Tribolium castaneum: one gene and its partner. Each later gene encodes a partner of the first gene's protein in a complex. Links are inferred from orthologs where the notes say so. Each region holds a gene or a part of one and is shown on either strand. Other genes may lie near its edges. The genes, in order: fl(2)d-associated complex component and Mettl14.

Evidence for each region.
Region 2: fl(2)d-associated complex component (region 1) and Mettl14 share a complex: the UniProt entries of both Drosophila melanogaster proteins name them as parts of the WMM complex. The link is inferred for Tribolium castaneum from reciprocal best matches to the Drosophila melanogaster genes Flacc and Mettl14.

Annotation. Positions count from the first base shown.
Region 1 is NC_087398.1:11,172,447-11,176,894, reverse strand, and holds the start of fl(2)d-associated complex component, read left to right. Parts: upstream 1-1,547; 5' UTR 1,548-1,810; coding exon 1,811-2,991; intron 2,992-4,448. Other genes in the region: Xxylt (xyloside xylosyltransferase 1), read right to left, coding at 1-343, 441-582, 631-1,066. UniProt on the Drosophila melanogaster protein: Associated component of the WMM complex, a complex that mediates N6-methyladenosine (m6A) methylation of mRNAs, a modification that plays a role in the efficiency of mRNA splicing and is required for sex determination.
Region 2 is NC_087399.1:167,047-171,017, reverse strand, and holds Mettl14 (N6-adenosine-methyltransferase non-catalytic subunit), read left to right. Parts: upstream 1-1,471; 5' UTR 1,472-1,600; coding exon 1,601-1,666; intron 1,667-1,716; coding exon 1,717-2,315; intron 2,316-2,367; coding exon 2,368-2,875; 3' UTR 2,876-3,149; downstream 3,150-3,971. Other genes in the region: BicC (protein bicaudal C), read right to left, coding at 1-118, 166-396, 451-857, 905-1,127. UniProt on the Drosophila melanogaster protein: Non-catalytic component of the WMM complex, a complex that mediates N6-methyladenosine (m6A) methylation of mRNAs, a modification that plays a role in the efficiency of mRNA splicing and is required for sex determination.

The DNA of each region.
Region 1 (4,448 bases):
TATGGTTTGAATCAAATCAGGATATTCAAACCCTATCAAAGTATAAAAATCCTGGTCACCCAAATGACCTCGAAATTTGTATTTGGACGTGAGATATTGCACAGTTTCATTCCTGATAATTTGGGAATATTCCTTTGATTTTCTTATTGCACTTAAATTAATCAAAACAACACCGGAATTATAGCCCTGGAAGCCACGAGGATGCTGCATATTGCTCGATATCGCCTTGGAATGATAATATTCTCCGAATGTTGAGTTCTTTTTCACTTTATAGGTTTGGAGGACGTGACGGTAGACTGGAGTCAGCTCGGGGGCCAAACCAAAAAGCGCAGTTGGCTTAAACCTATCAAACAGTTGAATTAAATTCCGATCAAAGTGATCTATGACTTCATGTCAGTCACAGGTCACTTTGACCAGAATAAGAAATTTCATAAACTCACTTGTCAAACTCCTCAAACACTAATCGAATATCCTTCTTAAAGTATAAATCACAGTCTAGTAGAAGGGCAGTTCGCTGGGAAGGTGGGGCTATCCGATACAGCCCCAAAGAAATATAGAAAAGTGCGTCGCTGTAGTAAGTACCTGAAGTCAAAACTAGTAATAGTGCAATTAAAAAGTAAGCCTTTTTACCCGGTTTTGAACTAAAATGAGGGGTCATAACGTCGACAATATCACTAATCGCTCTTGCACACGCTTCAACATCATAAAATTTATAAAATATTGCTTTATTCGAATGCGACACCACATCTGATATTTCACCTACTGCTAATTGCTTTGAGCTATTATCAACAATAATATGGAACTTTAAAGGAACAGAACTTATGTTTAAAATATTCTCCAACAAGTTGTGGAATTTATATCTTAACGGCGACCTTTGAGAGACTTTAGTAAATATCAACCAGACATTGTATTCTTTAGGCTTTTTGAATGGCAACAAAAATGTTGCATCGTTAGCAGAACCATCGGAATTGTAATGAAAAAACGTAAAATAAACAACTAATAACGCAGCAATTAAAATTCCAAGTTTTAACAAAAATCGTAGTTTAGGTTTTTTGGGGGCGTACATCGTTAATCATTTCTCTGTTTGTCGCAGGAATTGAACATTTTTTAAGTGTTACATTTCTATTTTTCCTTTACACAATAACACAACACAAACAACTGTCAACATAACCTCTCTTTTTGTTTGAAGACCACATTACGAATTTTGATTAATTTAATTAAATGTGCCTTTATCACTGATTGAACTAAAAATGCGAAAGCTGCTTAATGGAAAATTGGTCTTTAAACAGTGCTTTTAATATTTTTGCTCCTGTTGAAATGTTGGCCGCGACGCTACTGACTTTTTGTCAATAAATAAAAACAATTTGAAACAGACCAAAACTACGAAATTAATATCTAAATCATTCGCAAGTGGGGCATAATCAAAAATATATCATAATAAAGTGTACATTATCGACAGATTTTGAGTTTTAAAATTTTTGTTCCCGTAAAATTTCAGGTTGAGACCGCCACTGGTGTTGTCTGTTAAATGTCAAAAAACTATCACCTGTCAAGTGGCTACATTTTTGCAAAACAAATCGTTCCAGTTTTTTGGGAATTGGCTAAAATCTCGTTTGATTGATCAAAAAAGTGTCCATCGGGCGTTTGCAAGTCGAAATTGTGTTTTTTGGGCGCCATCTGTGCGGCATGATGTAAGGAGGCCCCTAGCCGATAAGCCCACAGTCTCCCATGCCGGCAACGTCAAACGTAAATATGGTAGCGTCAAGTGCTTCGCAATTTTTCCTCCTCACCTCGCGAACTCTGAGTGAAAATGTCTAAACAGGTCAAGCGCAAAATAACCGTGAACCTAACTCCGAAAAGCAAAGAAGTCTCGAAGCCTCGCCCCAGCGTGTTCGAGCGTCTGGGCACCAAAGCCAGCACCAGCCAGGACTTTTGCCACCACTGGGCCCAGAGCGGCACCTGCCCCTACGGAAAAGGCTGCAAGTACTCCTCCACCCACACCCTGATCAGCCCCTCGAAACGGGCGGCCAAGACCCAGCGCAAGGACAATGCAAATAAACGGGTCCATCCCGGAAACCCAGACGAGGATTGGGACCACTGGGACCCGGAGGAACTAGCCGACGCCGACCCTGATGATCTAGAAAAGCGCCGGCAAGAACTGCAAAGAGAACTCGAACTACAAATGAAAATGGAGAACAAAGCCCGGAAAAAGGACAAGAAAACCAAGAAGGAGAGCAGCCCCTCGACCGAAAGCTCGTCATCATCCTCGGACTCGTCCTCCTCAAGTGACGACTCCACCTCCAGCAGCTCCTCGTCCATAGAAACGCGTCGGAAGAAGAGTAAAAAAACCAAAACCAAACGCGACTCCTCCTCATCCTCATCGGAGCGCCCCCCGAAAAAGAAACCAAAAACGAAACGAACATCCTCAAAATCGTCACAACGCACCGACAAAACTAAAAAAACAACTAAAACAGCCCCAAAAGCCAAGTCTCCAACACCGCAACGCAGTCGGAAACAGTCGCAAACACCGCCCCCCAAAATCAAGCCGGGGCTCCCCCCAGCAAAGTCCCCAAGGCCCACGAGTCGGTCAAGCGACCGTAAGGAGAAACACCACACGCCCTCTCCCAAACCTAAAGAAAAGGAGAAGGAGAAAGAAAAAGAGAAAGAACGGGAAAAGGAGAAGGAACGGGAGAGGGAAAAGGAAAGAGAGCGGGAGCGGGAGAAGGAACGCGAACGCGAAAAGGAGAAGGAAAGGAACAAGAAAGATAGGGAGAAGGATGACCATAAAAAGAAAGAGTCAAGGTCGCCGAAACGGGACAGCAGGTCGACGAAAGACACTAAGAAGAGGGATACTCCAGATTCGTCGCATTCAAGGGATAAGAAGGGCTCACCAAGTCGGTCTAAAGGTAGCACGGGGAGCAGTCGAAGGGATCACAAGGGGACGCCGCCCAAGGAGGAGAGAAGTCGGGATAAAAAGGACGATAAGGATAGGTAAGAAACGAACTGTTTTTTAAACAATAAATCATAAAAGCGTAAGTTTTTTTAAAATTTTGTTAGAACTGTCTTCATTGAAGATACGCTTTTAGCAGATTCCCCCTTGCATTGCACTGTATATTGTATATGCGAGAAAGAAGTTCAAAGCAATGTTAGTTATGTATTATGTTTCTTTTAAATAGCACTTTCTATTTTTTGTTTATCACTGCTTTCGTATTCATCAAAAGACGAAAATCTTTCATTTAATGTTTCATTTTCACTTTATTTTCTTCAACTTTTACATATTATTATTTTTATTTTTAGAAATTCTAGCTTTGATTTAATGTTTCCAAAAATCTCACATTTAAATGTTTCTTTTGACCTTCCTGTGGAGTGTAATCTCAAATTCAAAGTTTCCTCTATCTTGAACTGCTCAGAGATTTTACACGTACAGAGTGTCTCAAAATTGGCGAATCCATAGTTCAGAGCATTGTAGAGAATCACTTCAGAAGTCTAAATTTAGAAGAAGAAAAAAAATATTCGGGGCTTTCCCACAAAGATGGGTTTGAAGATCACTCTTTAAATTGCGTTTTTTTTTTAAATGCAGGCTAAAAGTTTTAGTGTTGGTATTTATGGTACCTATGATTGTGGAAAATAATAAAATAAAACAATTTCCCAAAAGTTAGCTTTATTTTGGAGTAAATAAATCTAGAATGCTTCAATTTGATACTGCCAAATTTATTGAACCCTTACCTAAATCATTGTCTACTGAACTATCCACCTTTTCAGTTTTTTTTGAAATTCTAACAATTTTGAAGATGTTTTCACCTTTTAAATACATACTTGTTTGGCTAACATAATTTTTGATTTTATCTAAAAGTTTTGATGGATGGTATCACTGTTAACTTAAGTTTTTTTTAGTGTTGTTATAACTAGCTTAAAAATTGTGAAGTACATTTCCAATTAATAAGTTAAATGAAGCCGTTTCAGAATTTTATAGGTATACTTAGGTTTCACAGTTAGCTTAACTTTGCAATCATTAACTATTATTTATATTAACTAAATACTATGCTACTATTAATAATAAAAACAATTATGAAGTTCTTTACAATTAAAAAAAAACACAGAAAAAAACGTAAGCAAAAAAAAGTAAAAAATGAAGCTCTTGGGATTGGAAATAAAAATTAAAGAACAAAGGTCATAAACCTGACAGAATGCTCTGTGATTGGTAATCAGCATTTACGTTTTATGCAAAAAAATCTTTGTTTTCTAAAACATTTCTTTCATTAATATCTTCTTTCAATGTATTTTTTGTAATTTTAAATCTTTGAAAAAACTTTAAATTGTTAAGGCAGTATTTTTTCTAATTTTTTTCCAATTTTCTTATTCTGGTTTTTTACGAACAACGTGTTTTACTCAGTTTTGTTCGTTGATGTACCTAAGATATTTTTGAATTTTTTTCCATAATTAATGAG
Region 2 (3,971 bases), on another chromosome or scaffold:
ACATGATTTGGCATTTGGTGTAGTGCATGATTGCCTTTAGGTTTGAATGATTTTTGCCCAAAACGATTGCATGGTGTTGGGGCGAAATTTGGATAGTCATTTGAACCGGAATTTGGTTCTAAAAAAATTTCTAGAATTTTGTTGGAAAACACAACTTATAAGTACCGTCAAATTTTCGCACATGTATTCCATGAGCAAAATTGTAGCCTGCTTCACCTGCTCCACCTCCCATTCGACTCCCTTGACTAGTACTATAGTAGCATGAAGTTTGGACCTAGTTTTGAACATGACTTGCACTTTGTACTGTTCCTGGATTTTAATTACGTAAGGACACGTATTATCAATATTTTGGGCCATTATTGGAGGCTCAAACCCAAAAATCAGCGGAATTAATTCCTGAAATGATTGTACTAGTGGTAGGGTTGGATTCAAAATGTTTGATAACTATACCCTAACGCGACTCCTTGCATTTTCAACCCCTTCCAAATCGCCCGAAATCGAAACTTGATTGCTTTTTTCCATCGGATTCGAACGATTCGAATCAGGGAAATGTACGTGGCATTGAGTTTCTTCCATGACACGTTTAATACTCAGCCCTCCTCTGCCGATAATATGCGAATGGTCCGTGTAACTTATGTCCATTTTCATGGTTACACGATTGCATCTCGTGTACAAAACCGTCATAATCCTGTCTTTGGCGGCTTTAACATCCTCTTCTTTGCCGGCGATCCTCACGTGAGGATCCTTTTTCGATTTAGCCCCCAATTTGAGTTTGTTTGGCCACGTTATGTAAGTGTCAGTGTCTTCCATAATGTTCGCAAAAAAAACGTCAGCAGGGATCAGTGCATCGTTGTCCCCTTTTTTTACAAATAATTTCACAAATTACAAAAAAAACTTTACTTACCACTAAGCATCTGTTCCAACTTTTTGCGGTCGACCCGGAACCGGTCCTGGTACAAATCCGAAATGTCCTTTAATCCGTGTTTGGCAACAAAATCCCTTAATTCCTCTCTGGAGCCCCAATTTGAGTTGAAACCAGAAGTAGCCGTGCCGCTTTCCGACACTTCTGATTGTGTGTCGGAATTTTTTACCTCGATTCCACGAGGTGTAGCACAATTACAAGACATTTTTTTTTTAAATCACTACGTCCACAATTAATTAATGACTAACCCCATTTAATGGTCACTTTGTAAGGATTTTTACGCGTTTTTAAGGGCTGTGTAGGTGACACGCTTTTGGTAATTTGCGCGACTGAACTCTGATAAGGGCCAAAGAGAAGTTTTATCTCCTGCTTTTTCTCAGCATGTTTTTCTTCAATCTTATCTGAAGTACTCTGGTACAGGTAAGCGCCAAATTTTACTATTTGCCAACTTTTTCAGGTTTCTAAATAAAAGAAATAAAGTATTTCAACAAAACTTTATTTGTCCTTAAGTGTTACACAATTTATTTCTACCACAAATAATTCATCCCCCAATTTAAATCTACCGCCACGATATGTCAAGCGGTGGCGCTACTTGATTATCATCAATTTTCCGAATTTTGCCAAAAACTGCGGGGAAACTAAATAAAATGAGTTGATAAAACCCGTCTGCACTTGAAAATGGGTGAAGTTATGAAACACCTGCGTGAGAAATCACGGAAACGCAAGCAACTTCTGGCTCAAACTGTACGTATAGTAAAAATGTGGTTATGTATCACTGACAAATAATGTTTAAGCTTGGTGTTTCCAACCCCGAGGAGCTCCGCCAGGTCCTAGGAACCACAACCGAGGTCTCTAAGAGACGTCCCGATTCCACCAACAACGAAAACGAAAAATACGACTACAAGAAAGACACTCCAAATGAATTGGTCTATCGTGACTCTTCAACTTTTCTCAAAGGGACTCAATCGTCGAACCCCCATAATGACTACTGCCAACATTTTGTCGACACTGGTCAAAGACCCCAGAATTTCATCCGCGATGTCGGTCTAGCGGACCGGTTTGAGGAGTACCCCAAATTACGTGAATTAATCAAATTAAAAGACGAACTTATTGCACAAACTGCAAATCCCCCTATGTATCTCAAATGTGATTTAACGACTTATGATTTGAAAAACCTAAATTGTAAGTTTGATGTGATTTTAATTGAACCACCTTTGGAAGAATACCAGAGAACCATGGGGGCCACAAATATGCAGTTCTGGCCATGGGACCAAATCATGAATTTGGATGTGGGGGAAGTGGCAGCGCAACGAAGTTTCGTATTTTTGTGGTGTGGAAGTTCAGATGGACTTGACATGGGGCGCGTGTGTCTCAGAAAATGGGGCTTTCGCCGGTATTTTCCCCATTTTTAGACCAAAATTTTGTAATAATAAATCTAATTACAGATGCGAGGATATTTGTTGGATTCGCACAAACATAAAAAATCCAGGTCATTCGAAAAACCTTGACCCTAAAGCAGTGTTCCAAAGGACAAAGGAACACTGTCTTATGGGTATTAAAGGAACGGTTCGGCGGTCAACCGACGGGGATTTTATTCACGCCAACGTCGACATTGATTTGATCATTTCGGAAGAGAACGAATATGGAAGTTTGGAAAAACCGGTTGAAATTTTCCATATAATCGAACACTTCTGTTTGGGGCGTCGGCGCCTCCACATTTTCGGTAGAGACAGTACCATACGTCCAGGTTGGTTAACGATCGGTCCCGAGTTAACAAATTCGAATTTCAATGCCGATTTATACGCGAGTTATTTTACTAATAATAATATAACGACGGGATGTACGGAACGAATTGAAGCTTTGAGGCCGAAAAGTCCGCCTCCAAAGGGCAAAGGAAATTCCGGAGGACGAGGTCGGGGCAACTTTCAGCGAGGACGTGGCAGGGGACGTTGAAAAAACACTTTTTAAAGCTTTTATTTTTAATTTATGACACTACCATAGTCTCCAGCAGTGCGCTCAGATCTGATTTGAAAAAATTATGACACTACCAAATCATCTCCAGCAGTGTTCTCAGATCTAATAACTTAAAATATAATATTAATCTTGGATCACAATCACAATAAGCAATATCAATATAAAAACTATAATAACCATACAATTATGTATTTATATATAAAAATAGTGGTTTACTTTATTTTCGTTCAATAATAATGACGCAGTCACATAATTTTTGTTACTTTAACCTTATAATACAATTTTTATATTATAAAACTGGTTGGTACCATGTTAAAAAATATTTTTCTGAAGACCATACACTGGGTTCGAGATTGTTTTCAATTAAAATCAGTTAAAACATTAACAAAATTTGGCATCGTAAGTACAACTTGTTTCTATTGTTGAAACACAAAGAGAAAAATTAAAACATGTTCTAAGTTTAACTTATAAGAAGGTACTTCCTAATGTAAAAAAATACATTGAGAAAAAAACTATGCACTAAATAATTCGAGCATACAAATTATTGGTCTTAATAAAATAATTTAACAGCCTTTTCTAGGGAAGAGAGAAATTTTCGTTAAGTTATTACAATTATAAAATTAGGGAAAATTAGAACTGAAGCCTGAACAAGAAATCGTATACAGTTTTGGATCGTTAAATTATTCTTCATTCAGTCTTCATATTGTACTGGCAATTCGGTTCACAATTAGTTCATTTCTAAATTTCCCTACAAAAAAAACTAGGGAGAGGGTTAGGGGGAAAATGGCAAAAATCTTATAATAACCGGTAACCAAAGTACTAACATTGGCAAGATAAAATGAAATGAGATCAAAAAAGCATTTGTACTCTCATAATTAAAAAGTGTTTTGACTGATTTTAAACTTGGTTTAAAAAAAGCAAGCGGATGAATGAATGATCAAAAAAAAATAATGACACAATCCCTTCTCTACATGCAATATTTACAGTTTTGTACGATGCATGCCCTTTGAGCCTCCCATTCACAGGTACGTGGACTCCCCTAGAAATAAATTTAAGTAAGACTGATTTCCCAACA